2 linked regions of the Elephas maximus indicus genome follow. The protein of the gene in region 2 interacts with the protein of the main gene of each other region in a pairwise test. Links are inferred from orthologs where the notes say so. Each region holds a gene or a part of one and is shown on either strand. Other genes may lie near its edges.

Region 1 (11,785 bases), on a different chromosome or scaffold from region 2:
TAATAAAGGGCATTTTTACAAAGCCAACAGCCAACATCATCCTAAATGGAGAGAGTCTAAAAGCATTCCCCTTGAGATTGGGAGCCGGACGAGGATGCCCTTTATCACCACTCTTACTCAACATTGTGCTGGAGGTCCTAGCCGGAGCAATTAGGCTAGATAAAGAAATAAAGTGCATCCAGATTGGTGAGGAAGAAGTAGAAGTATCTCTATTTGCAGATGACATGATCTTACACACAGAAAACCCTGAAGAATCCTCAAGAAAACTACTGAAACTAATAGTTCAGCAGAGTATCAGGATACAAGATAAACATACAAAAATCAGTTGGATTCCTCTACACCAACAAAAAGATCATTGAAGAGGAAATCACCAAATCAATACGATTTACAATAGCCCCCAAGAAATTAAAATACTTAGGAATAAATCTTACCAGAGACGTAAAAGACCTATACAAAGAAAACTACAAGACACTACCACAAGAAAAAAAAAAAAAAGAGAGACCTACCTAAATAGAAAAACATACCTTGCTCATGGATAGGAAGACCTAACGTTGTAAAAATGTCTATTCTACAAAAAGCCATCTATAGATACATCACAATTCCGATCCAAATTCCAAAGACTTTTTTTAATGAGATGGAGAAACAAATCACCAACTTCATATGGAAGGGAAAGAGGCCCCAGATAAGGAAAGCATTACCGAAAAAGAACAAAGTGGGAGGCCTTACTCTACCTGATTTTAGAACCTATTATACCGCCACAGTAGTCAAAACAGCCTGGTACTGGTACAACAACAGATACATAGACCAGTGGAACAGAATTGAGAATCCAGACATAAATCCATCCCCATATGAGCAGCTGATATTTGACAAAGACCTGAAGTTCCTTAAATGGGGAAAAAATAGTGTCTTTAACAAATGGTGCTGGCATAACTGGATATTCATCTGCAAAAAAATGAAACAAGACCCATACCTCACACCATGCACAAAAACTAACTCAAAATGGATCAAAGACCTAAATATAAAATCTAAAACGATAAAGATCATGGAAGAAAAAATAGGGACAATGCCAGGAGCCCTAATACATGGCATAAACAGTGTATAAAACATTACTAACAACACAGAAGAGAAACTAGATAACTGGGAGCTCCTAAAAATCAAACACCTATGCTCATCCAAAGACTTCACCAAAAGAGTAAAAAGGCATCCTACAGACTGGGAAAAAGTTTTTTGCTATGACATTTCCGATCAGCATCTGATCTCTAAAATTTACATGATACTGCAAAAACTCAACTACAAAAAGAAAAATAACCCAATTTAAAAATGGGAAAAGAATACAAATAGGCACTTCACTGAAGAAGACATTCAGGTAGCTAACAGATACAGGAGGAAATGCTCATGATCATTAGCCATTAGAGAAATTCAAATCAAAACTACAATGAGATTCCATCTCACTCCAACAAGGCTAGCATTAATCCAAAAAACACAAAATAATAAATGTTGGAGAGGTTGTGTGCATTCCCACCTCAGGACCTTTGCCCTTAGTGGTTCCTCTCATCTGGACCAATTATCCAAGGTAGTCGTACAGCTGGATGCCTTAACTTCATTCCTGTCTCTATAAAAACTGATGACCACATCAAAAATAGTATCCTCTGCCACTCTCTACCTCCTTTACTTTGTAGCTCTTGTCACTCCCTCACAAAAAAAGGCTTGTACATCCCTTCCCCCTTCTTTCTGCCTTGAACACGAATTAGATGCCTCATGCTTTGGCAGCCATATTGCAATCATGCGGGGAAAGGCCAAAAAAAAAAAAAAATCACACAGACACTAGCTCCATATATCACTGAGCTATTCATCCAGCATTGCCTACATCCAGAATTTTCATCATGAAAAAAATAGCCACTTATTTAAGCAACTGTTAGCTTTCTGACTTGAAGCCAAGAGCATTCCTAACTTTACACACTGGCTCTTCCCTCTGCTCAGAACATTCTGATAACTCCTCATAACTCCAAAAGACAAAAGAGCTCCTATTAGTCAGAGCTTATTGTGTGCCAAGCACTGAGATAAGCGTTTTACCAGTATTATCTCATTGTATTTCCACAACCCTAAGTCAGTGGGGGCAGTGGTGGTTCAGTGGTAGAATTCTTACCTTAGGTTTGATTTCCAGCCAATGCACCTCAGATGCAGCCACCACTCATCTGTCAGTGGAAGCTTCCGTGTTGCTATGATGCTAAACAGGTTTCAGCTGAGTTTCCAGACTAGGAAGAAAAGCCTAGTGATCTGTTTCCAAAAATCAGCCAGTGAAAGCCTTATGGATAACAAGGATCCAATCCGCAACTGATCATGAGGATGGAGCAGGACCGGGCAGCGTTTCATTCTGTTGTGCGTGGGGTCACCAGGAGTCAGGGGCCGACTCTACTACAGCTAACAGCAAGTGATCGACACTAGAGGAAGCTGAAACTTAGAGGTCAAGTCACGTGCCAAAGCCACAAGTCCAGGTCTTTCAGATGCCAGTATCTGGGCCTCTTCACAGTGCCCTGTATCGTGCTTCACTCTGGAAAGTCATGCCATCACGCTGAGCAGTGCCCCCTCTGTGCTTCCCCCTCACAGCACTTGTCACTGTATTACTGTATGAACCTCTTCACCTGTTGTCATGGATTGAATTGTATCCCCAAAAATATGTGTATCAATTTGGCTGGGCCATGGTTCCCAGTATTGTGTGGTTGTCCTCCATTTCGTGATTGTAATTTTCCTATGCGTTGTAAATCCTAATCTCTGCCAGTGGTTAATGAGGCAAGATTAGATTATGTTAAAGAGGATTAGGGTGGCATTGTAACACCCTTACTAAGGTCACATCCCTGATCCAATGTAAAGGGAGTTTCCCTGGAGTGTGGCCTGCACCACCTTTTATTTTACAAGAGATAAAAGGAAAGGGAAGCAAGTAGGGAGTGGGGGACTTCATACCACCAAGAAAGAAGAGCAGGAATGTGAGTCTTTTGGACCCAGGGTCCCTGTGCTGAGAAGCTCCTCGACTAGGGGAAGGTTGACAAGGACCTTCCTCCAGAGGCCACAGGGAGAGAAAGCCTTTCCTTGGAGCTGATGCCCTGAATTTGGACTTGTAGCCTCCTAGACTGTGAGAGAATAAATTTCTCTTTGTTAAAACCATCCACTTGTGGTATTTCTGTTATAGCAGCACTAGATAACCCAGACAGCTGTCTTCCTCCTCTATCAAAAGAATTCTGGGGTGCCAGGTAGGCCTTCTTCACCGCTGGTTCTCCAAGACCTGCTGCAATGCTTGCATGTTGTTATGGACTGAATTGTGTCCCCCAAAAGTATGTGTTGTAAATCCTAACTGCTATACCTATATCCTGGAAACTCTGCTGGTGTAGTGGTTAAGAGTTTGGCTGCTATCCAATAGGCTGGCAGTTCAAATCCACAAGGTGTTCCTTGGAAACCCTATGGAGCAATTCTACTCTGTCCTATAGGGTCGCTATGAGTCAGAATTAACTCGACGACAATGGGTTTGGTTTTTTGTTCTGTTTTGTACCCGTAGTTATAATTCCATTTGGGAGTGATTTTCTTTGTTATGTTAATGAGAAAGTATTAGCATAGGGTGCATTTTGAGTCAATCTCTTTTGAGATATAAAAGGAGCAAATTAAGCAAGGAACTGAAGAAGCAGAGATAAGGGAAGATAGATGCCACGATAGATGAAGATCATCAAGGAGCCAAGGAATAGAAGCTGAGAAATAAGGGCCTTCTCCCAGAGCTGACAGAGAGGGAAAGCCTTCCCCTAGAGTCGGTGCCCTGATTTCAGACTTCTAGCCTTCTAAACTGTGAGAAAATAAATTTCTCTTTGTTAAAGCCACCCACTTATGGTATTACTGTTACAGAGCTAGATAACTAAGACAGTTGTTAAGGAAAGAGACCTCCTGAGCAACTCCTCCACCCCCAAGATGATTTCTTGCCTGGTAAACTCTGGGTGTATGGGGGATTGCTTTTAAGTTCAGCAGAACCCAGGTGTCCCTGCTCCCAGCTCAGTTACAGGGGGTTCCTAAAAACCATCTCATGCCCACCCCACCCAGCAGATAGGAGTGGAAAGGGGTATCAGGTGGGAGAAAAGAACCTCACATACAATCTCCCTCCTCTGACTCAGAAACCCAGGAAACAAGGGGACAGAGAGGGCTTACCCAGCTTGCTCCCTGGATCAGGTCCCAGAACTCTCCCTCCTGGAAAGCACCTCCCCACCCCCCAAAGAGCAAATCTGACAGTAGATACTGTCCAGACAGTGGGATGGTTCCATCCTGGCCCCTCTGTGGGCAAGACCTGGGTCCTTCATGCACAGCTGTGAAGTTCCCAGTTATAAATACCATGGTGCAGGGAGGGGTCACAAAAGGTAAGGTGTCCTGTCTCATGAGGGCCCTACCCCTCCTACCTGGGCCAAGGGGAGGGCATTTTCAAAGCAGTAGCAGTTTAGTCCTGAGACCTCTCATTGTTCTCAACTTCCTTCCCCCTTAACTTAACACAGCTGCGGCAGGTACCCCCATTTCCCAGCAGACCCCCACCACTCCCCATGAAGCCCCCAGCTCCCAATGATCCCAGACTTCATTTTCCTCCTCTCTCAGCAGTATTCCTCACCCCTTTCCAATCTCCAGCAGCCTACAACTCAGCACATGATCCTGAGTTGAGCTATCACTAAATCAAACATTGAGAAATTAGAACTTAAAAAAAAAAAAACTAACATTTACTTACCCCCTTCACCCCCTGATTACAAAAGCTACATGTTCAATAATGCAGGAAATCTGGGGAAACACCAAAAAGCATCAAAGAGGAAAATGAGACTCCCTCCAATCCCACCATCTAGGGGTAACCATCATTAACACCTCATATGACCCAGTATTTCTGTTTTGGACATGTTATCAGAAGGGACCAATCCCTGGAGAAGGACATCATAGAGGGTCAGTGAAAAAAGAGGAAGACCCTCGAGGAGGTGGATTTGACACAGTGGCTGCTGCAACAATGGGCTCAAACAGCAATGATTGTGAGGATGGTGCAGGCCTGCAATGTTTTGTTCTGTTATACATAAGGTTGCTATGAGTTGTTGCTGTTCTTCTTACATTGAAGAGGAAAATGAGATTCAGGGAGGGGAAGTGTCTTGCCTGAGACCATACAACTTAATTTTAAGAGGTGAGGTTTGTATTTTAACTCAGCCATCTGGATCCAAAGCCTGTGCCTCCAGCCTGAGTTTTTCACATTCACTGCCCTCCTCTGCCAACAGTCTGCAGCCACTAGAGGAATGATGGCTCAAAGTTCTGAGGCAGGAAAGCCTGATGTTTTTGATGGGACCCCAAGTCAGCTCCCTAAGGCAGGAGGACCTGACAGGACACCCAGAGCATCTGCCTTTTCCACAGAATGGCCTCTCCTGTCTTCCCCTTCATCTCACATCCTAGTTTGAGGAGGTGATGGGTCTTAAGAGGTGATCCCTTTTCAAGTGAATCCCACAGGGTCACCAAACTGGGAGAATCCAGTCTGCTGAGAAAGAACTATTCAACAATTCCATTGGTTGTTTGCAGGGGGCCTGCTCCCTGTCCCACCAGTCCAGGGGCTGCTTTGGGGCTGAAAGGCAAGGCTGGGATCTGGTACAAAGTGCTCCCAGTAGGGCAGGAGTGACCACCCTTGAAAAATCAGGACAAGGAGATTTTCCAGCTTCCTTGCTGCCGGCTGTGGCAGGGTGGCGACTGGCAGTTGGCTCAGGTATGCAACGTATACTCCAGTCCAAATAGCGCTGTTATTAAAAAACGGGATCAGTCGGCTCCTTTGCTTACTGACTGTAGTTTGCATCCCAGGTGCCCCGGGCGGGGGCGGGGGGAGGGGGGCTGGTTGTCAGTGGGGGCAGACGCTACTGTCAGAGGTGGGGGGTGAACACAACTCTTTGAGCCCAGCCCTGCACAAGGCTGGGGGCTGGACGGGATGCTGCAGGATTCGGTCCCTGCGCCCCGTAGCCCCGAAGCTGCAATGAGAGACTTCGTCCGGCTCAGGAACGGTAGGTCCTCCTAGGATGTTTCCTGGGCCCCTCCGGCCTCCTCACCAACTGACAGGGTCCGCCCACAGCGAAGGCGCCTCAACCAAAGGCTCCGGCGCCAGCCCTCACCTATTCCTTTACGCCCCTTCCCTATCCCTACACGGGCCGGGATCCCGGCTCGGCCCCACGCGCCGACTTCAGGAGTCCCCCTCTCCGGCATCGGGACCCCGAAAGCTGCGACCGGGAACCGCAAGGCAACACCCGCACCCAGGAACTAAAAGATCCCGCCCGGTGGCGAGGTGAGGGGGCCGTGCCTCCACGAGTGCACTTCCGCTTCCGGCTCCGAGCGACGCTTGCGGCCGGGTTTAGTGTTCAAGCTCCGAGGTTGTGGCGTCGGTACCTTCGAGGAGATTGGAGGTGAGGGGGCCGGGAGAGGTGACGGGTCTCGGCCGCCTAGATTCCGCAGGCCTGCGACTGTCGAGGTCGGAGGCCGGAGAACCCTGGGGCTGGGACTTCAGGCGACATGGAGGGGCGGAAACGCAATTGCCGAAGGCCCGCGGGCCTGGGACATCGTACTTAGGGCTCAGGAGGACTCAAATGCGAGGGTTTGGAGGGGGTGAGCGGAAGGCTTAGTGACTGGGGAGGTTGGGACCTGAGAGACATGGAGGCTGGGGTTTTAGAGGTCTGGGAAACCCCTGGAATCTTGACTTTGCCGCCTCCCATCCCTGGTCCTGTGTAGCTCCAGCCAGGATGATCGAGGTGGTTTGCAACGACCGTCTGGGGAAGAAGGTCCGCGTTAAATGCAAGTATCCTTTGGCAATCGAGAGGCAGTAGCCTCTGGGGGTGTGCTTGGCACGAGGCAGGCACTCAGTCGGTGTTGTGGGGTGGTTTTGATTAAACCCAGGAACGGGGGCAGATGGCGTCCTGACAGAGCGCTTTCAGCCCTGGAATCCCCTCTTCTTTTCCTACCTCCTCTTTGCATTTTCCTTAACTTCTCTGCTTCCAGCCCTGATGACACCATCGGGGACCTTAAGAAGTTGATCGCAGCCCAAACTGGCACCCGTTGGAACAAGATTGTCCTTAAGAAGTGGTGAGTGCAGTGGTAGAGCTGCGGCCAGAAGGTTTGGATTGGGGGAATGCTGCAGGCAGCCCTTTGCTTAGGCAGTGCTTCCTCAGCCTGTCTCTAGGGTAAGGACCTCCTGGGCTCCTTTCTGAAAGGTCTTTATCCCATAGGTACACCATTTTTAAGGACCACGTGTGTCTGGGCGACTGTATCCTTTGTGTGACTTCCCGAGAATGGGCCTGCTTGCCCCGCCGTGTTTCTCTTTGTTTGGTACCAGAGTCTAAAAGACTTACACACATAAAGTGTTTAGTATGTAGCACATGATAAGCATTTAGAAAGAGGGACCTATGTAATTATTTTGTTGCGGGAGGGGAGTGTTTGGCTGGTGAAATATTTTGACTAGTATTAGAAAACACTTTAAGTTCAAAATATTTTTTGAGTACTGGGTAGAGTAGACATCCTTGCTCCACCTGAGTGTTGGGCAGGAGGCCAGGATGGAGTGAAACTCAGGCATGTTTGTTACGCAAGGCACTGGAGCATGTACTGTTTTTATGTTTTGGATTCTCCCCAAATCAACATAGGCCAGTCCAAATGGCTTCCTTAGCCCTGGGCTGAGCCTTCATCCTGACCCAGCTGTGAGTGGGTGAAAGGGGTGGGGATGGAGCCCACCATGAGGATTCCTTAACACCTTCACTTCAGATGAAATCCACGATGGGATGAACCTGGAGCTGTATTACCAATAAGGCAGAATTCCTTCCTCCTCTTCTGCCCTCCCTCTCCCCTTCCCACACAGTGGTATGGAGGCTTGTTTTTACATTAATAAAAACTCAGATGCTGCTTCGGTGTTGTCTTCTTCATGTCAGAGCTGTCTGATGAGGGGGAGGGCTGGTGTCTGTCTGGTTGTCACTGTACCCTCAGTGCCCATTTGCTCAGTAAGAGTTGTTGATTGGGTCATTGTGGGAAGAGTGAGTCAGCAGAGTGGGATCCCAGAGCTCTGGGGTTTGCCCTAGGTCACTAAGGGTCCAGGCTTGGGATTGTCACCCTAGAAGACCAGGGAGCCTCTGGGTGGGGACATTAGTAGATGTAGTGGTTAGAAATACAGGCTCTGGATTCAGACAGACCCTGGGTGAAATCCCAGCTTTGCCACCAACAGCTGAGTGATCCTGGGCAAATTACTTAACCTCCCTAAGTCTTCATTTCCTTATTCAAAAACTAGAGCTAATGGTGTTTACTTCATTGGTGTGTTGTGAAGCATAAATAACATAAAGTATGCTTAAACATCCACAGTTACTGGCACTTAACAAAAATAAAAAATGAGTATAGTGGACAGCGGAAGGTAGTGTGGCATAGGCTGTAAGATTCCAGCCTTAGGAGCCAGACCAGCTAGGTATGCACTCTGACTGATCATTAGCAATGGGACTCAGGGAAGTCGACCTCTGATCCTCACTTTCCTCCCCTGAAAAGGACACCATGATGGTACTTACATCTCAGTGAGATAATGTAATTAAAACAGCACACTACCTGGCGCATAGTGCTGTTAGCTGTCCTTGGTCTTCCTCCATGTTTGAGTAGACAAGACAGCAAACATCCTGCCTCTGTTCCTCTGGCCACATGTCCTGGTGCTGACCTTGGCCCTGTCCCCTCCTAGAGGCTGAAGAGAGACCTGGGCCCAGTCTCATTCTGGAGCCCCTCCTTGGAAACCCGTTCCCAGAATCTTGCTCCATCAATACTCCGTCCAAGTTCCAACCAGCCTCTGCCTTTCTTTCACCACAAAGCTTGGAAAATGGACCTGCCTGCCACATAGGACGGTGCTGGTCTGTAGCTCATTGAAAATGGTCTCTCTTTGGTCTTCATTAGTGCCTCTCCCCACTTTCCTTCCATGGCTCCCTCCCTTTTTGGGGACTCCTTTTCCTCCAGGCATGGCAGAAATATCAGTCTCCTGGTACCCTTGCTCTTCCTACTCTTTCTGCTCTGTCTCCCCCATAACTGGCTCTGTTTAAAAACAAAAAATTTTTCAGTTATATGACAGGCTAAAGAGGTGATTCCTTGTTACTTTCAAATCAGCATAGAAGTGAACAGGCTAAAGATGAAAAACTCTCTCCTCCATTCTCTTTCCTGAGATCAGGCCTTTTTCAATGTGTTCATATAAACTTCCGTTTTAATTTTTAAAAAATTATGTGGATGCATGCTTATTAGAAAAATCCAAGTGTTTGTTAAAAACTTTATTTCTGATACCATCCCTTCCACCAGTGGCAGTCATTGACATATTTGAGTAAATCCAGAAATTTTTTGCAATACAATGTAGTTTTTATACAATTGGGATAATTACACATACGGTAATACAGGTATTCCTGACTTGATGTATTCGAGTATTCATATTCAACTTGCATCAGAACAAACTTATGATGGAGTTGTGGGAATGGAATTCCTATACTCATATATTAGCAGCTGACTTTTATATGCTTTATCTTTGACATCTTTCCATATTAATGATCTTTCTCATTCTCTTTTAATTATTTTATTGATTTTTTTGTTTGTTTCATTTTGCTCTTTTACATAAAAGGGCAGTGCAGGACAATTACTGGGTGATGGAACTGTCCTGTATGGATCTGTGATGGTGGATATAGGACTCTGCATTTGTCGATCAGGATATAGGAAGATAGGTGAAATGCAGGCTGTCAAATGAATCCGTGTGTACTACAAATTAATCACATGACCACACTTAACAGGTGGGAAAGAAAGGCGATAAGTTAAATAACTTTGGAAAAAGTATTTTGACTGAATAAGACTAAACACAAAAGAATCTAGTTGATAAATTTGTACCTTATAGGGGTTGTTGTTAGTACCTTTGAGTCAGTTCGGACTCACAGTGACCCTACGTATAACAGAATGAAACACTGCCTGTCCCTGTGCCATCCTCACAGTCATTGCCATGTTTGAGCCCATTGTAGCAGCCACTATGTCAGTCCATTTAGTTGAGGATTTTCCTCTTTTTTCAGACCCTCTACTTTACCAAGCCTTATGTCCTTCTCCAAGGATTGATCCCTCCTGATAACATGTCCAAAGTACATGAGATGAAGTCTCACCATCCTCACTTCTAAGGAGCATTCTTGCTGTACTTCCAAGACAGATTTATTCGTACTTCTGACAGTCCCTGGTATATTAAGTATTTTTCACCAACACCATAATTCAAAAGCATCAATTCTTTGGTCTTATTCATTGTTCAGCTTTTGCATGCATATGAGGCGACTGAAAATATGGCTTGGGTCAGGTGTATTTTAGACCTCAAAGTGAAATCTTTGGTTTTTAATACTTTAAAGAGGTCTTTTGCAGGAGATTTTCCCAATGCAACATGTCATTTGATTTCTTGGCTGCTGCTTCCATGGGTGTTCATTATGTTACTGGAGAATGGTCTCAATTCTTGTCTTCGGCGTAGGAAAGAATTCAAACACTGAGACAAATATTGCCAAGTGAGCAGAGGTTTATTAGCTAGCAGAGGGTTAATAGCAAAAGTACACTTGACTAGGGAGCATCAAACAGGCTACTCAGATATATAGAGTCTGAGAGCCCCAATAGTTGTTTTCTTAGGGTTTTATATCCTTGTCTCTTATCTCTCCCTGTTAACGTTTAACAGCCAAGACAGGGACCCCTATAGAGACTATTTCCTTGGCTTAAGGTTTAATTACCAAGTTAGGGACCCCTATATGGATCATTTCCTTGGCTTAAAGTTTAACTACGTAGGGACCATCTTACTGAGGAATGTCACCACCCCTTGTCTCTTCCTCTTCCAGAGTGCAAGCTCTCCCCCTCCCCCTTACAATTATGGATCCAAGTAAAATGAAATCCCTGACAACTTCAATATTTTCTCTGTTTATCGTGATCGTGATATTGCTTACTGGTCCAGTTGTGAGGATTTTTGTTTTATTTTGAGGTGTAATCCATACTGAACGCTGTAGTTTTTGATCTCCATCAGTTAGTGCTTCAAACCCTCCAAGTCCTCTTCACTTGCAGCAAGCAAAGGTGTGATATTTGGTACCGAGAGTGGTTCTAGAGAAACAAAGTCATAAGAATGAGTTTTCTAAATTTGTTCTCAAGTCTGACTAATCTAAAAGGTGCTGATGACTCTGCTTCCACCTGATGTCAGGTGGCAATATTAATATGCAAAATATCACTAACAGTAGATCAAATATTGGTGAGAAGCAAGGCTCTGGGTGATCACATGTTTGATACTTTTCTACAATTTTGTCAGAATGAGAAGTATAGGGAAACTGGTTGGTTGGTCCTACTTTTGCTAGACAAAATAGTGAAAGAAACAGATGACCTTGGGGCTTCAGAGTCACAGCTCAAGCACCACATAAAAGACCTCAAAGTTTCCACTTGTGCCCTGAAAGAAAGCCTTCTTTCTTGTAGTAACAGAGCTGATATTGCTGAAAACCAAACCCAGAAGCTTATCATAAGAGTGGATGAATTACAATGCCTCTGAATTCCCAACCTCCAGTGGTATCTGAAGTTAAAGTGAGGGTGTGGATTGGGAAGAAATGGGATCCTGAACCTTGGGATGGAGACATATGGGCAGATAATCAGGAAATTGGGGACACTGAGCCTCTAAATTCCATTGAATCATTCCTGCCAACAGAACCAACCCTTTTAACTCCCATCTGAAGAGGGTATTCCATGTTTGTATGGGAAGCCACACTCCCCAGTA
Region 2 (12,648 bases):
CGTTAGCAAGGATTTGAATGATAGATCAAGTCATGTAAAAAAGAAAGGAGAGGAACCGGATGTAAAGGTCATTCCCGGCACTGCGAATCAGATTTCATGAGTGTGTTAACAGTATGGTGGTCACTACAAGAATGCCCTCGATCTTAGGAGTCAGTGCTAAAGTATTTAGAGTTGAAGGGTTGTGATGACTGTAGCTAACTCAAATACCTCAGAGGAAAAAAAAAAAGACTATAAACGTGAACAGATAAAACAAATATAGCAAAACGCTAACAAATCTAGCTGAATGGTATGTGGATGTTCAATGCAGTAATCTTTTGAAATATTTTTATTGAGGTATGATTCACATACCATAAAATGCACCTTTTTTAAAGTTTACAATTCAGCGTTTTTTTTTAGTATATTCACAAGGTTGTGGAACCAGCACTACAATCAAATTCTGAAACATTTCATCGCTACAAAAACAAACCCCATACCAATTACTTACTCTCCATTCCCTTCTCTTCCAAACTCCTAATCTACTTTCTGTCTTCATGAATTTGCCTATTATGGACATTTTGTACAAACGGAATCATACAACATGTAGCTTTTGGGTGTAACTTCTTTCGCTTCATTTGATTTTCAAGATTCATGCATGTCGTAGCATATAAAGCCAAAAAATCAAACCAACTGCCGCTGAGTGGATTCCAACTCATAGCGACCATTAGGATAGAGTAGAACTGCCCCATGGGGTTTCCAAGGCTGTACCCTTTACAGAAGCAGTCTGCCACATCATTTTCCTGCAGAGCAAGGGGTGAGTTCAAACCACCACCCTTTCAGTTAGCAGTCAAGCACTTAACCACTGCATCATCAGGGCTCCTTGTAGCATATATCAATACTTAATTTCTTCTTCCTCCTTTTTTTTTTTGTTAACAGCTTTTTTGAAATATAATTCATATACGATGTAATTCGCCCATTTAAAGTGTACAATTTCATGTTTCTTTAGTATCTTCACAGAGTTGTGCAACTATCAACCCAATCAATTTTAGAACACTTTCATCAGCCCCAAAAAGAAACCCCATACCCTTTAGATCACACCCCATCCCCTAGATCCCAGCCCTAGGCAACCACTACTCTACTTTCCGTATCTATTTCTTTGTCTATTCTGGACATTTCATATGAATGGAATCATATCATATGTGGTCTTCTGTGACTAGCTTCTTTCACTTAACATAATGTTTTCAAGGTTCATCCATGTATCATTACTTCATTTCTTTTTATGGTTGAATAAATACTCCATTGTATGGATATACCACATTTTGTTTATTCATTTATAAGTAGATGGACATTTGGATTGTTTCCACTTTTTGGCTATCAATGTAGTATTCCAGCAACTCTTCTGTAACTTTGAAATTTTTCAAAATAAAAGGTTATAAAGGAGTGAAAAGGGGGAAAGTATGCATGTGTGCGTGTGTATGTGTTATTTGTAAATGCGTGGAATACCTCTGGAAAGATATTCAAAATATTAATAACATTGGTTGTTTCTAAGGAAGGAAATGAGGTAGGTGGGAGCAGGGATGAGAGATTCCTTTCATTGTAAACACTTTTGTACCTTTAGAAATTTAAAAACTAATTTTGAACTGTATAAATTTCAAATTTTAAAAAGCATATTCCTGAGACAAAAGAAAATTTGATAGCAAACTAAATTCCATCAACAAGGTAATTGTTAAAAAAAAAAAAAGATGACATATATAAATATTTATTGGTGTGAAAATTTTCTACAATATATTAAGAAGGAAAAATAAGTTACATTATGAAACTTAAATAAAACAGTGCAAGCAGGCATAAGGCAGAGATGCCTATTATCACCGTTCCTAAGGGAGACAGGAGCCCTGGTAGGGCGGTGGTTAACAGCTCAGCTGCTAATCAAAAGATCAGCAGTTCGAATCCACCAGCTGCTCCTTGGAAATCCTATGGGCAGTTCTACTCTGTCCTATAGGGTGACTATGAGTCAGAATCAACTTGATGGTAATGGGTTGACAAAGTGGTTAAAAAGAAAGCATATAGTCCTTGGGTCTAGAAAAACCTGTCCCTGGTGGTGAATCAGAATGAGGTTCAGTGAAGGTGAAACATTAACTTATGCATTGGCTGGAGGTACTTGAATAGTATAAGGACAACAGTAATTTTAATTGTGGAGTTGTTTATCTTTAGTTGTTTTAAAAGCCTAGAAAAAAGAAAACGACAAGCTCAGGCCAGCCAGCCGTCAACTGAAAGCACACTGTAGTATCAGAAAGCCTCCATTACCTTTTTTTTTCCAGTTGCTGTCAAGTCAGTTTCAACTCATGGTGACCCCATCTGTGTCAGAGTAGAACTGTCTGATTTTTCAGAAGTAGATCACCAGGGCTGTTTTCCAAGGTGCCGCTGGATAGACTCAAACTCCTAACCTTTGTACCACCCAAGGATTCCTCCTTTGCATTTAGAGATCTTTATCTCCTGTAGGGTAACCCTAATGGTGTAGTGGTTAAGTGCTAAAGCTGCTAACCAAGAAGTCGGCAGTTCAAATCCACCAGATGCTCCTTGGAAACTCTACAGGGCAGTTCTGCTCTGTCCTATAGGGTCGCTATAAGTCGGAATCGACTTGACAGCAGTGGGTATCTCCCGTACCACAGGGCAGACTGTGTTGAAAAATCAGGCCTAGGATTTAATTGCAAGGGTAGCAAAGCTACAAAGGAAACTGAAGTCATAGCCTTGATGGGCTCCTATTCCAAAATTCAGAACTCTGAGAAAGAAGCACATCTCTAATGTGTTTAATATCTGTCTTTCCCATCTACTACTCTCAGATCCTACACACACACATATATACATATATATACATACATACATACATATATATACTGGTAACTGAACAGCGGTAGAATTCTTACCTTCCACGTGGGAGACCCAGGTTCAGTTCCTAGCCAATGTGCCTCATGTGGAACCACCACCCATCTGTCAGTGGAAGCTTGTGTGTTACTGTGCCGCCAAATAGCTTTCAGAGGAGCTTCCAGACCAACAGACTAGGAAGAAAAGCCTGGCAATCAGTCAAATCTGGGAGGATGGTGCAGGACCAGGCAGCATTTTGTTGTGCATCGGATTGCCATGAGTTGGGGGCCAAATGGACCAAAAGAAACAACAGTAGCAACAGTTGTGGTTTAAATGTGTAGATGGTATTGTGTTATATCTGCATAGACGGTATGTATTGTGTTAAAAATCACACTTATAAGTCACAGCTATCATGGTCCCTCTGTCACAGGTGTATTCAAAAGTTACATCCAACTGTGACCCTGTCCTGAGCCCCTTTCATTGGTGGTACTGGACATTATTGACAAAGAGATTGGAAAGACGAGTTGATTGTATTTCCTACAGAACCTCTAACTTAAACCACTTCCCATACTTCTCCGCATACACTCCACACACTTTGCAAAGTGTGTTGTGTGTCACAGAATGCTTCTGGCATTGTTGTGCTCTGTGAATCTCCTCACCACCACTCTCAGGAAACACCTGAGAAACCTGGGACGTTATTCATCTTGGGCAGAGTAGGATGCATAGGAGACCCTTTGTGACTCGCTGTTCAACAGCAAGTAGGGGACACTGGGACCTTTGATGGCCTTGATGTACTGGAGGTAAACTGATCCATTGTTTCATCATGAGGAGCCTTCAAATAAATAACCCTGGGTTGTGGTTATTTAAAACAAACTCTTTTGGTCTTGCTGAAAGATGGATTCGGCATGGTTTCCCCTAAAGATTAAGTAAAGTAAGTTGCTATGTATTTTGTTATATGAGTTATAGCCGTTCAGTAGAATGTAGTAAATGCAAGAGCATTGGAGCAAGCAAGGCCTGGATTTAAATCCTAGCCTGGCACTTGATAACCATGTGATCTAGGGCAAATAACCAATGATCACCTTATACGGTTATTTATATTATTAAATGAGTTCATGTATATAAAATGGTTAACACATCGTGAGTAGTTAATTGATAGCCAAAAAAAAAAAAGGAACTGAATTCAGATGAATAAATTATTGGTGATGAGCAATTATAACGTAGGTATTAAGATTTTTTTTTGTAAAGGTTTCTCTATAAAGCTTTTGCTAAACAATTTACACAATTTAGACTTTTACTCTGAAACTTCATTTATAGATGAGTGTTTTCAATATCTGAAGTTAAGTATATAGAATATGCATGTTCGAATATATGAAAGAATATTCCTCTGGTTGTAAAAAAATAAATAAATATAAATACAAATAAAATAAAAATTTTTATTTTTTTTTTGCTCTTCAAAGCTAAGATTTTCCTCAAATGGTTGTTTTTAACACATGGTTTAACTTAAGGTTTTCTTGAACATACTTGTTTTTCTGTGGAGATGAAGCTACTTGATTAGGAAGTTTTTTCAGTGTTGGTAGTGAACTTGCAGAAATTTATTTTTTTTTTTTTTAAACAATGGTGTTCATTTCCAGGGAACTGACTTAATGGAGAAGGTTGAGGCTGCCACGTGTTATTAAGAGTGTTATTAAGCTAACTGCCGCAGGGATCCTGGAAGCAAATCTTTACCTTTGACTTAATCAGTTTAGAATTTAAACCACTGAGCAAAGTGGCCAAAAGTAGCTTATGTAAACAACCTATTAATGTTTAGTCCATTCTGGGCACTAAAAGGAGACAACCAAGCAAAATATAAAACAGGGTCCTTGTTCCCTGCTGAAGCACAAAGCCACAGATGACAATCAGGAGCACCACAGTGCCGTGTAACGTGTCATAGATACATTTGGTGTTTTTCAGCCCCCTTGTGATCACTGTACCCTTTCAAATCTTAGACCTTTTGGTGGCACATTTAAAATACTCAAAACAACACTAAAACAAGTAATTACAAAGCAGATTCCACTACTGAGTAACAGTATCTTATAGTATCTGTAAGAACCTCTGCAGTTGACTCCTCCATGTGGCTGCCTTTTAACCCCGTGTTGCTATTTGAGTAGTCTGTGAGTTGGAATTGACTCGATGGTGCTGGGTTTTGGTTTTTGGGTATACTGTCCTGACCACACTCACATCCTCATGAGACAACTCTCTCTCATACTCCAACAGACAGGGAACTTTTCTTTGGTGCCAGCTTGAACTTACACTTAATATGCAGCAAGTTGAGCCCCACTTTACCTTACAAGATCGCCAACCCTCTCAGCTCAATGTTCTATCTCTGAAACAGTACGTGTGATCACTTGCAGAACCAATAAATTTCACTATTTAGGCAAAATTGGTTGGCATGCTTGATTGGCCCTAGACACACCAGCATGCCTTTACCCATTATTTGAAGACTTCAACTCTAACTGAAGTAGCCAAGAGCAGGAGATGGGTGGAAGCTGATGCGGTCAGGGACAGCATCTTTAAGGAGTTGAACATTAAAGGACAGGTAAGATGTAAATCTATAGATATGGAAATAGGGGGTATTCCAAGTGAGGAGAATACGATCATCTCAGTTTCATTCTGTAGTGTAAAGAATTTTCACTTTCAATTGTCTTTTCACTAACCTTCTTGAAGTAAGGTACAATCTCAGTGAGAATTCAATTTACCCAAAATAGGCAGCACAAGTTTCTATGTATCACAAGTATCTAACATCTGTGATGTTAGTTCACTAAATGTATCACAGTGCCCTCTGTTCATCTAACAAGGTAAAAGAATTCAGGTATCCCACATGCTATAGGAATAATGACCACAACAATGGGACCCTGCCCTTCCAATTTTAATTTCTGCTTTTCCTTTTTATCCAGGGAATCCTTGAGAGAATACAGAATCTCCCTGACGGCAACGGGGTGGGTTTGCTGACACTTCCCAATATTAACAATATCTGAATACCTGACCCCTTTGTAACATTTGACAGTCAGCCTTTCTGTTATTGAAACACTTTCCTTATTTTCTCTAACATCAAACTCTCAATGCTCCTACTCGGGCTTCTTCTGTCCCTTAAAGCGTTCCCCAGTCTTTGGCTGTCTTCTCACCTTACATCTGGGGATTCTCAGAACTGCAAAGTATCTTTTTCTGAGGTAAGCAAGCCGCTTAATGGACGCTCACTGGCTCACAGCCATTACCCCTGCTTTGGCTGAATTTTAAAATCAACCCTCAGGGACAAATAACGGGAGGACTTCGTTAGTAAAACTTCCAGCTACCATAGCTGTCCCAGGAGCAGGAACCATAACAGGAAGAACCTCGTAAGAAACTTCCTCTTTTTTTTTTTTCTTTCTGCTTAGGAGCCTGTGCCTTTAAAAAATAAGCACCCCTGAGCTTGTTTTCTGAAACATCTTTATTCTAAACCCATTTGAGACCGAAAGCTCCAAGTGGACAGGGACTACGGCACAGCGTGGGCTTTGAGGGTTTTTGTGTTGTTTCTTGGCTGCCTCTGAAGTTGAGGGCGTGGGGGATGGGGCGGAATGGTGGAGAAAGTGCGACAGCGCGTCACCCTTGACGGGAAGAGCAGGTCAACAGCCACGGGCTGGCCCTGCCGACAAGCGCAGCACTTTTAGCTCCACCTTGAGGCGCAGACACGCCCTACATGTTGTGGGGAGAGTACTAGAGTTTCACCGCGGTTTCACTCAGAGCGACTGTACGAATCGCCGTTGCCCCACCAGGCCTCGAGGCGGGGCTGGTTGGGTCACAGAGCCCCGCCCCTAGGGGCGGGGCCGGAGCGCCAGAGGCTCTGTAACGCAGGCGCGTTCGCGCGTCGTAGGTGGTGCTAGGGGCCGCTACCGCCATTTTGTGGGGTTTTTGTCGCAGTAGCTGGAGGGGGAAGACGGCGGTTTGGCGACGTTTCTCGCCCAAAAGGCCTTTTGCTTTTGGAGAGGTAAGGTATAGGATGGAGTGTGCTTGGCTGGGAGACTTATGTCTCAAGGCCAGGTGTCGGAGAAACGACTGGGTTCGGGGCCTCGGCGCTTGTTGATGAGTTGGGGGTTCCTAAGAGGTACTGCTCAGCTGGTGGCCTTAAAAACCTAAAGTTGCTCGGGCGTCATGGTACATCTAAAGTTCTGGGGCGGAAAGGCCCGCGGTTCTGCTCTGACCCTTACCTGAGGGCCCCTGTCTCGTGCACCGCGGCTCCGCAGGCCCCAGCCTCGTACCGATGTTGTGGCTAACGGGCCGGGCGGGGTCTTGGTGATCCCTTCAGGGCCGCCGCCGCCCGCTGGAGCGAAGACTTGCCGAATGCGGGGACCAGCAGTGCGGGAGACCCTTCGAGAGCCGTTTCTGGAGTTTGGGGTTTTCCAGAATCAGATATTTGCCGGGATCTGTGAGTGAGGCAAAGGCCCCAGCCGGGGGCCCGGGGCGGGGAGGCTGGGCGGTGATGGAGGCTGGGCGTCAGAGGAGCTGTGAATTCAGAAAACCCGCGTCATCGAGTCGATTCCGACTCAGCGATCCTGTAGGACACAGTGGAACTGCCCCATAGGGTTTCCAAGGCTGTAATCTTTAGGGAAGTGAACTGCCACATCTTTCGCCTGCTGAGCAACGGCTGGTGGGTTCGAACCGCTGACCTAGCATCCGAGCGCTTTAACCACTGCACCACCGGGGCACCTCCTGCGAGTCCAGTTGGTGGAATTTAGCTCAAGCTTGGAAGGTTGAAATATGGGAGGTTCGTCATTTGTGCGGTGCGTTTTCTTCCTAAGGTGGAGCACACCACTGTTAACAGCTAATCTGTATTTCTGATAATTTTGCATCGTATTATTCGTGATTACTCACGTAGTCCAGCTATGCTTATCCAGTTCTAAGAAAACAACGCTCCAAACTGACCGGGCCAACCACTTGGCCTCCCTTTATAGTCTTCTATGTGATTGTGCATCACTCACGCACCCACAGGCTTCGTGTTACTTATTAAATGCTGTCTTGGAGCCGACTAGTCATAACGTCTATTTTGATGTTTTTAAGCCATGTACATAGCATTAAGTGTCGGGTATCATAAGATTTTAAAAATGTCAGGAAAATCAGATTTCCAGTACAGGTGCATGCATACGGATGGATCCCGTGTGTCTGTTTTTATGGAAAATATCTGATGATTCTAGCATATAGGGTTATTTTTAATTAGAGATAATTTAATAATTTCTAGGTAGTTTGTGTGTGTGTGTGTGAAGGAACAGTCACTGAAGAAATCTTTACCTTCTGAGAATATATTTCTGAGCATTAGGGGAAAAAAAAACTTCCTAACAGTAACTGCATTAAATTTGAAGTAGTGACACTTGATTACCCAAACAACCCAGTGCTGTGGAGTGGAAACCAACTCATAGCGACCCTATAGGACAGAATAGAACTGCCCCATGGAGTTTCCAGGGAGCACCTGCCAGATTCAAACTGCTGCTGACCCTTTGGTTAGCAGCTGTAGCACTTAACCGCTATACCACCAGGGTTTCTGAAACTTGATTACAGAAATACAAATCTTGGGCTCTCACAAATAGTTCATTATTGAGAGCTGGAACTCCAAGGATCTGCCTTGTTTTTTCCAGGTCTTGTAAGTTTTCCACCTTTGACAGGGCATACAGCCTTACCACTTGTCTATCGCTCTCTCTTATAGGGAAGTATTTGAATTTTCCTTTTCTGAGAGGTTTCAGTCTTACCTAGGTTCCAGCTTTCACAGGTTTTAGTGTAATAACTTTGTTTATTTGAGAATGCTGCCTTGCTGGAGGTGAGCCTGTTGTGGCCAACTGACAGTAGGAAGGGGAAAAAAACTAAACCAGACACATGTTTGGCAAAAAAACTGCACAATAATGGATGGTGGTCATAATAACCGTTTATCAGATGTGATTTTGCCTGCTCTTATTTGTTTGAAAATGCTGAGAAGCTATTTTAAAAAGTTCCCGATGTGGTTAAAATTCAATTTTGGTAATTCAAGGAAGGTATCAGAAGAATTCCACTAGAAAATAGAAATGTTTTTTATGGCTCCTCTGAAGAAAGTTTATTTTTTGGCTTTTTGCTTCGGGTAAATTTGCATGCCCTTTAGTTCATTTTCCCAAATTTATGTCCCATACACGGAGCCCTGGTGGCGCAGTGATTAAGTGCTCAGCTGTTAACTGAAAGGACAGCATTTCAAACCCCCCAGCCACTTCAAGGTAGAAAGACTTAGCGATCTGCTTCTGTAGAGATTATAGCCTGGTAAACCCTGAGGGGCAGTTCTATTCTGTCGCATGGGGTCGCTATGAGTCAGAATCGATTCCTTGGCATCTAACGGTAACAACACGTTTCATACTTAAGTCAGACTACTTATTTCCGGTGAGATGCCTAGCAGGTGTTTTAGGCAGGGTTTTGAACCAGTTATTTTCTGTTTGACTGCCTGCTGAGAATTTGCATTTACCCCAGAACCACCTGAGGGTCTTGGTAAACTGTAAAAACCAGAAAACCCATTGCTGCCAAGTGGATTCCGACTCACAGTGACCCTATAGATAAACTGTAGATTCAGTATATCTGGGGTGGAAGAGCAAATTCTTAGCAGGGGGTCAAACCGAAAATAAGCTGTTGGAAGCCCTGGTTTTAGGATTCTTGTTTGACCTGATCAATGTCTTCTCCTTTCTTAAACAAGCTCAAAGAGAAGTCACATTATCAGAAGAACACTTTACAGGCGTAGAGTTAGAATCAGCAAGAGGAGTTAAAGAGATCTGAATATTTGGTGGCATCAGGCCCTGATGGGATGATATATACAGTTTTTTAAGGAATGCCTCCCAGGAGAGTTGAACTGCCTCATTTCAAAGTCTCATTTTAATCCACTTGGAAATTGACATTTTCACTTGGCATTTGTTTGCTGGTTCCCAAGTCACTTGAACAAGCTGAATGAGGTTAACTCAATTGGTTTTGTTACATTTTAGCCTTTTCCAATTCCTTGCTGAAGTTGTGAAATTCTTTCCTTTTTGCCTTTTTAAGCTCACCCTGTTTAACAGAGTTTAGACGTCACTTAAAAATTTAGTTGCTTTGGAAAAGAGTTAAGTTGGGGAGAAGCAGATCAGGATGACATTGAGCACAGATACTGAACCTGGAATGAGCCTATGTAATTGAAGTTGTAGATGGTGTCAGGGAATTGTCACCATCATTCTTCTGATTTGACTGTGACGTACTTCACTGTGCAGCTCCTAGGTTGGTTTCTTTTACAGAGTGCTTCAGAGCTGTAGCAGCTAGGTTTAAGAATAACTGTAGAATGATCTGAAAATAAACTGGTTGGATTAAAAAAAAGTGAGTTCATTAAATCACATCTCTTTATTGGCCTTCAGTTTCTCTGTTGAATACTGTTCTCTTTACCTCCTATTATTTTCAAAGGTTGGAGTCATTCTGAGATTTATAGAAGGGAACTCTGCAGAGTTTGAGAGAGTTAAATTACTTTAAGACAAAGTAATTTCCCACATTTAATATCCCTGAGTGTTTTTGCTGACTTCAGTTATTTGTACTATATAGTATTTTTGCCAAAGCTGGGTGACACTTGTCATATTATTTATCTTTAAGTCAACTCAGATTTTAACTTTAACAGTTTTAAGGAAATCATATCAATAACTTAATTAGGAAATCAGAAATTAGTTGTCATAAAGAAGGTAATTGTAAAAATAAAAGAAAAACAAAAGTATTCATTTCTAGCTAAATACTGTTATTTACTGAAGGCTGTTTGCCCAAGCCCTGGCACTTTTGTTTTCAAAGGACAATGAGCAAGTGTTAGTTGAAGATAAACATCAAGCCGAGACTTTTTCCTGGGTGTAATTGAAAAGATTGAAAGAAAATGTATTAAGGTCTTACAGTATTGGTATCTAGATCTGTATGCCGCTTAAGTCATCTTGGTCTAGTGCCCCATGATGGGGAACATTACCTAAAAAGATTTTATTTATTTATTTACTGTACTTTAGATGAAGGTTTACAGAACAAACTAGTTTCTCATCGAACAGTACACACGTTGCTCTATGACATTGGTTAACAACCCCATAACATGCCAACACGCTCCCTTCTGTTCCCTATTACCAGCTTTCCTGTTCCCTACTATCTTCCAGTCCCTGCCCCAGGGCTGGTACCCACCTTTAGTCTTGTTTTGTTCCATGAGCCTGTTCAGTCTTTGGCTGAAGGGTGAACCTTAGGAGTGACCTCGTTACTGAGCTGAAGGGTGTTTAGGGGCCATACTCCCAGGGTTTTTCCAGTCTCTGTGAGGTAAGCAAGTCCGGTCTTTCTTTTTGAGTTCGAATTTTGTTCTGCATTTTTCTCCAGCTCTTTCCGGGACCCTCTGTTGTGATCCCTGTCAGAGCAGTTTTGGTGGTGGTAGCTGGGCACCGGCTAGTTGTACTGGACTCAGTCTGGTCGAGGCTGTGGTAATGTGGGCCATTAGCCTAAAAAGAATTTAGATAGAGGACATTGATCTTCTGTTAAGGGTGGTGGAAAAATTTGGAAATGGAGGATGGTGATGGTTGCACAATATGATGAATTAATGGCACTAAATTGTACCAAAAAAAAAAAAAAGATTTTAGAGCCTGTGTGCTGGGTTTTTATGTTTAAATAATATTAATCTGTAATACTTTTTTAAACACAGCTATGTACACTATAACTTCCACAAATCCCTTTTTGTTTCTGTTAACAGATGCGGCATTCAAAACGCACTCATTGCCCTGATTGGGATAGCAGAGAAAGCTGGGGGCATGAAAGCTACAGTGGAAGTCACAAACGGAAGAGGAGGTCTCACAGTAGCACACAAGAGAACAGGCATTGTAAAAAACCACCTCCGCAGTTTAAAGAATCTGACTGGTAAATTACTCTTGAACTAGTAACATTTTAATTCCAGTAGTTTTTTTCGTGATTTGTCATTTACATACATAGTTTTCATTTGTCAAATTGTTTTATGATTCAGTCAAGAAATGTTTATTCATTGAAAAAAAATAACGAGTGCCTATTATGGGGCAAACACTTTATAGGTGCTGAGGCTACAGCTGTGACTAAAACAAAATTCCTATCCTCATGTGTCTATGTCTATCTGGCAGTGGCTGGAGACAGTATCAGTAAGTGGGTATAAAACATTAAGGTATTGTGAGGATCTGCCAAAAAATACTATAAATAGGCTGCCAGTAACATAGTTAGGGAGATGAGGCACACAAAAAGTCAATAATGATGACAGAACACCCAGTCAGTGCCTTTAGCTATACATTGGGTGTGTAGGAGGGAAAAATGTATGTTTCGTGTTTCATGAATGAGATACGGCATGCTAAAATGTGTTGGGGGTTAGTCTCACACTGTGTTCTACAGATTATATTTGTAGGTAAAAGCAGTGGATACATTTGGGATTTTGAGAAGCTTCATTGTAAAAAGAACCATTCCTTTGCGTAGGCAGTAGCCAGTAATTTAGGAAAGGGTCGCAGTAAAGATTTCCAATAGCATTTGTCCTGTTTTATTGTATTCTTAAAAAAAAAAAGAATTCTTACCAGTGTAAAATTTGGGGTTAACACATTTAAACAGAATTAAAGAAATTTTAAAGTTTCTAAATGATTAAAGAAAGACTAGGTGAGTAGAGTTTCATTCACTCTGTCGTTAGTTAATTTCCCTTTCTCATTTGTTTTGTTGGTTCTGTGTTTTCTCCTTGTTTTGTGCAGATGTTCCATTGGGACTGTTTCCCAGATTACTTTCTAAATTAGCCAGCTGGGGTTACTTTACAAAACAGTATGT

What was found.
Region 1: the proteins of CLK4 (region 2) and UBL5 interact in a two-hybrid assay, tested with the Homo sapiens proteins (2 studies listed by BioGRID and IntAct). The link is inferred for Elephas maximus indicus from reciprocal best matches to the Homo sapiens genes CLK4 and UBL5.

Annotation. Positions count from the first base shown.
Region 1 is NC_064821.1:27,998,374-28,010,158, forward strand, and holds UBL5 (ubiquitin-like protein 5), read left to right. Parts: upstream 1-6,325; 5' UTR 6,326-6,434; intron 6,435-6,756; 5' UTR 6,757-6,767; coding exon 6,768-6,823; intron 6,824-7,023; coding exon 7,024-7,107; intron 7,108-7,250; coding exon 7,251-7,288; intron 7,289-7,779; coding exon 7,780-7,823; 3' UTR 7,824-7,917; downstream 7,918-11,785. UniProt on the Homo sapiens protein: Ubiquitin-like protein that plays a role in cell proliferation and sister chromatid cohesion by associating with spliceosomal proteins. Participates thereby in pre-mRNA splicing by maintaining spliceosome integrity.
Region 2 is NC_064820.1:198,869,587-198,882,234, reverse strand, and holds the start of CLK4 (dual specificity protein kinase CLK4), read left to right. Parts: upstream 1-6,710; 5' UTR 6,711-6,838; intron 6,839-11,572; coding exon 11,573-11,736; intron 11,737-12,575; exon of another isoform or gene 12,576-12,648. UniProt on the Homo sapiens protein: Dual specificity kinase acting on both serine/threonine and tyrosine-containing substrates.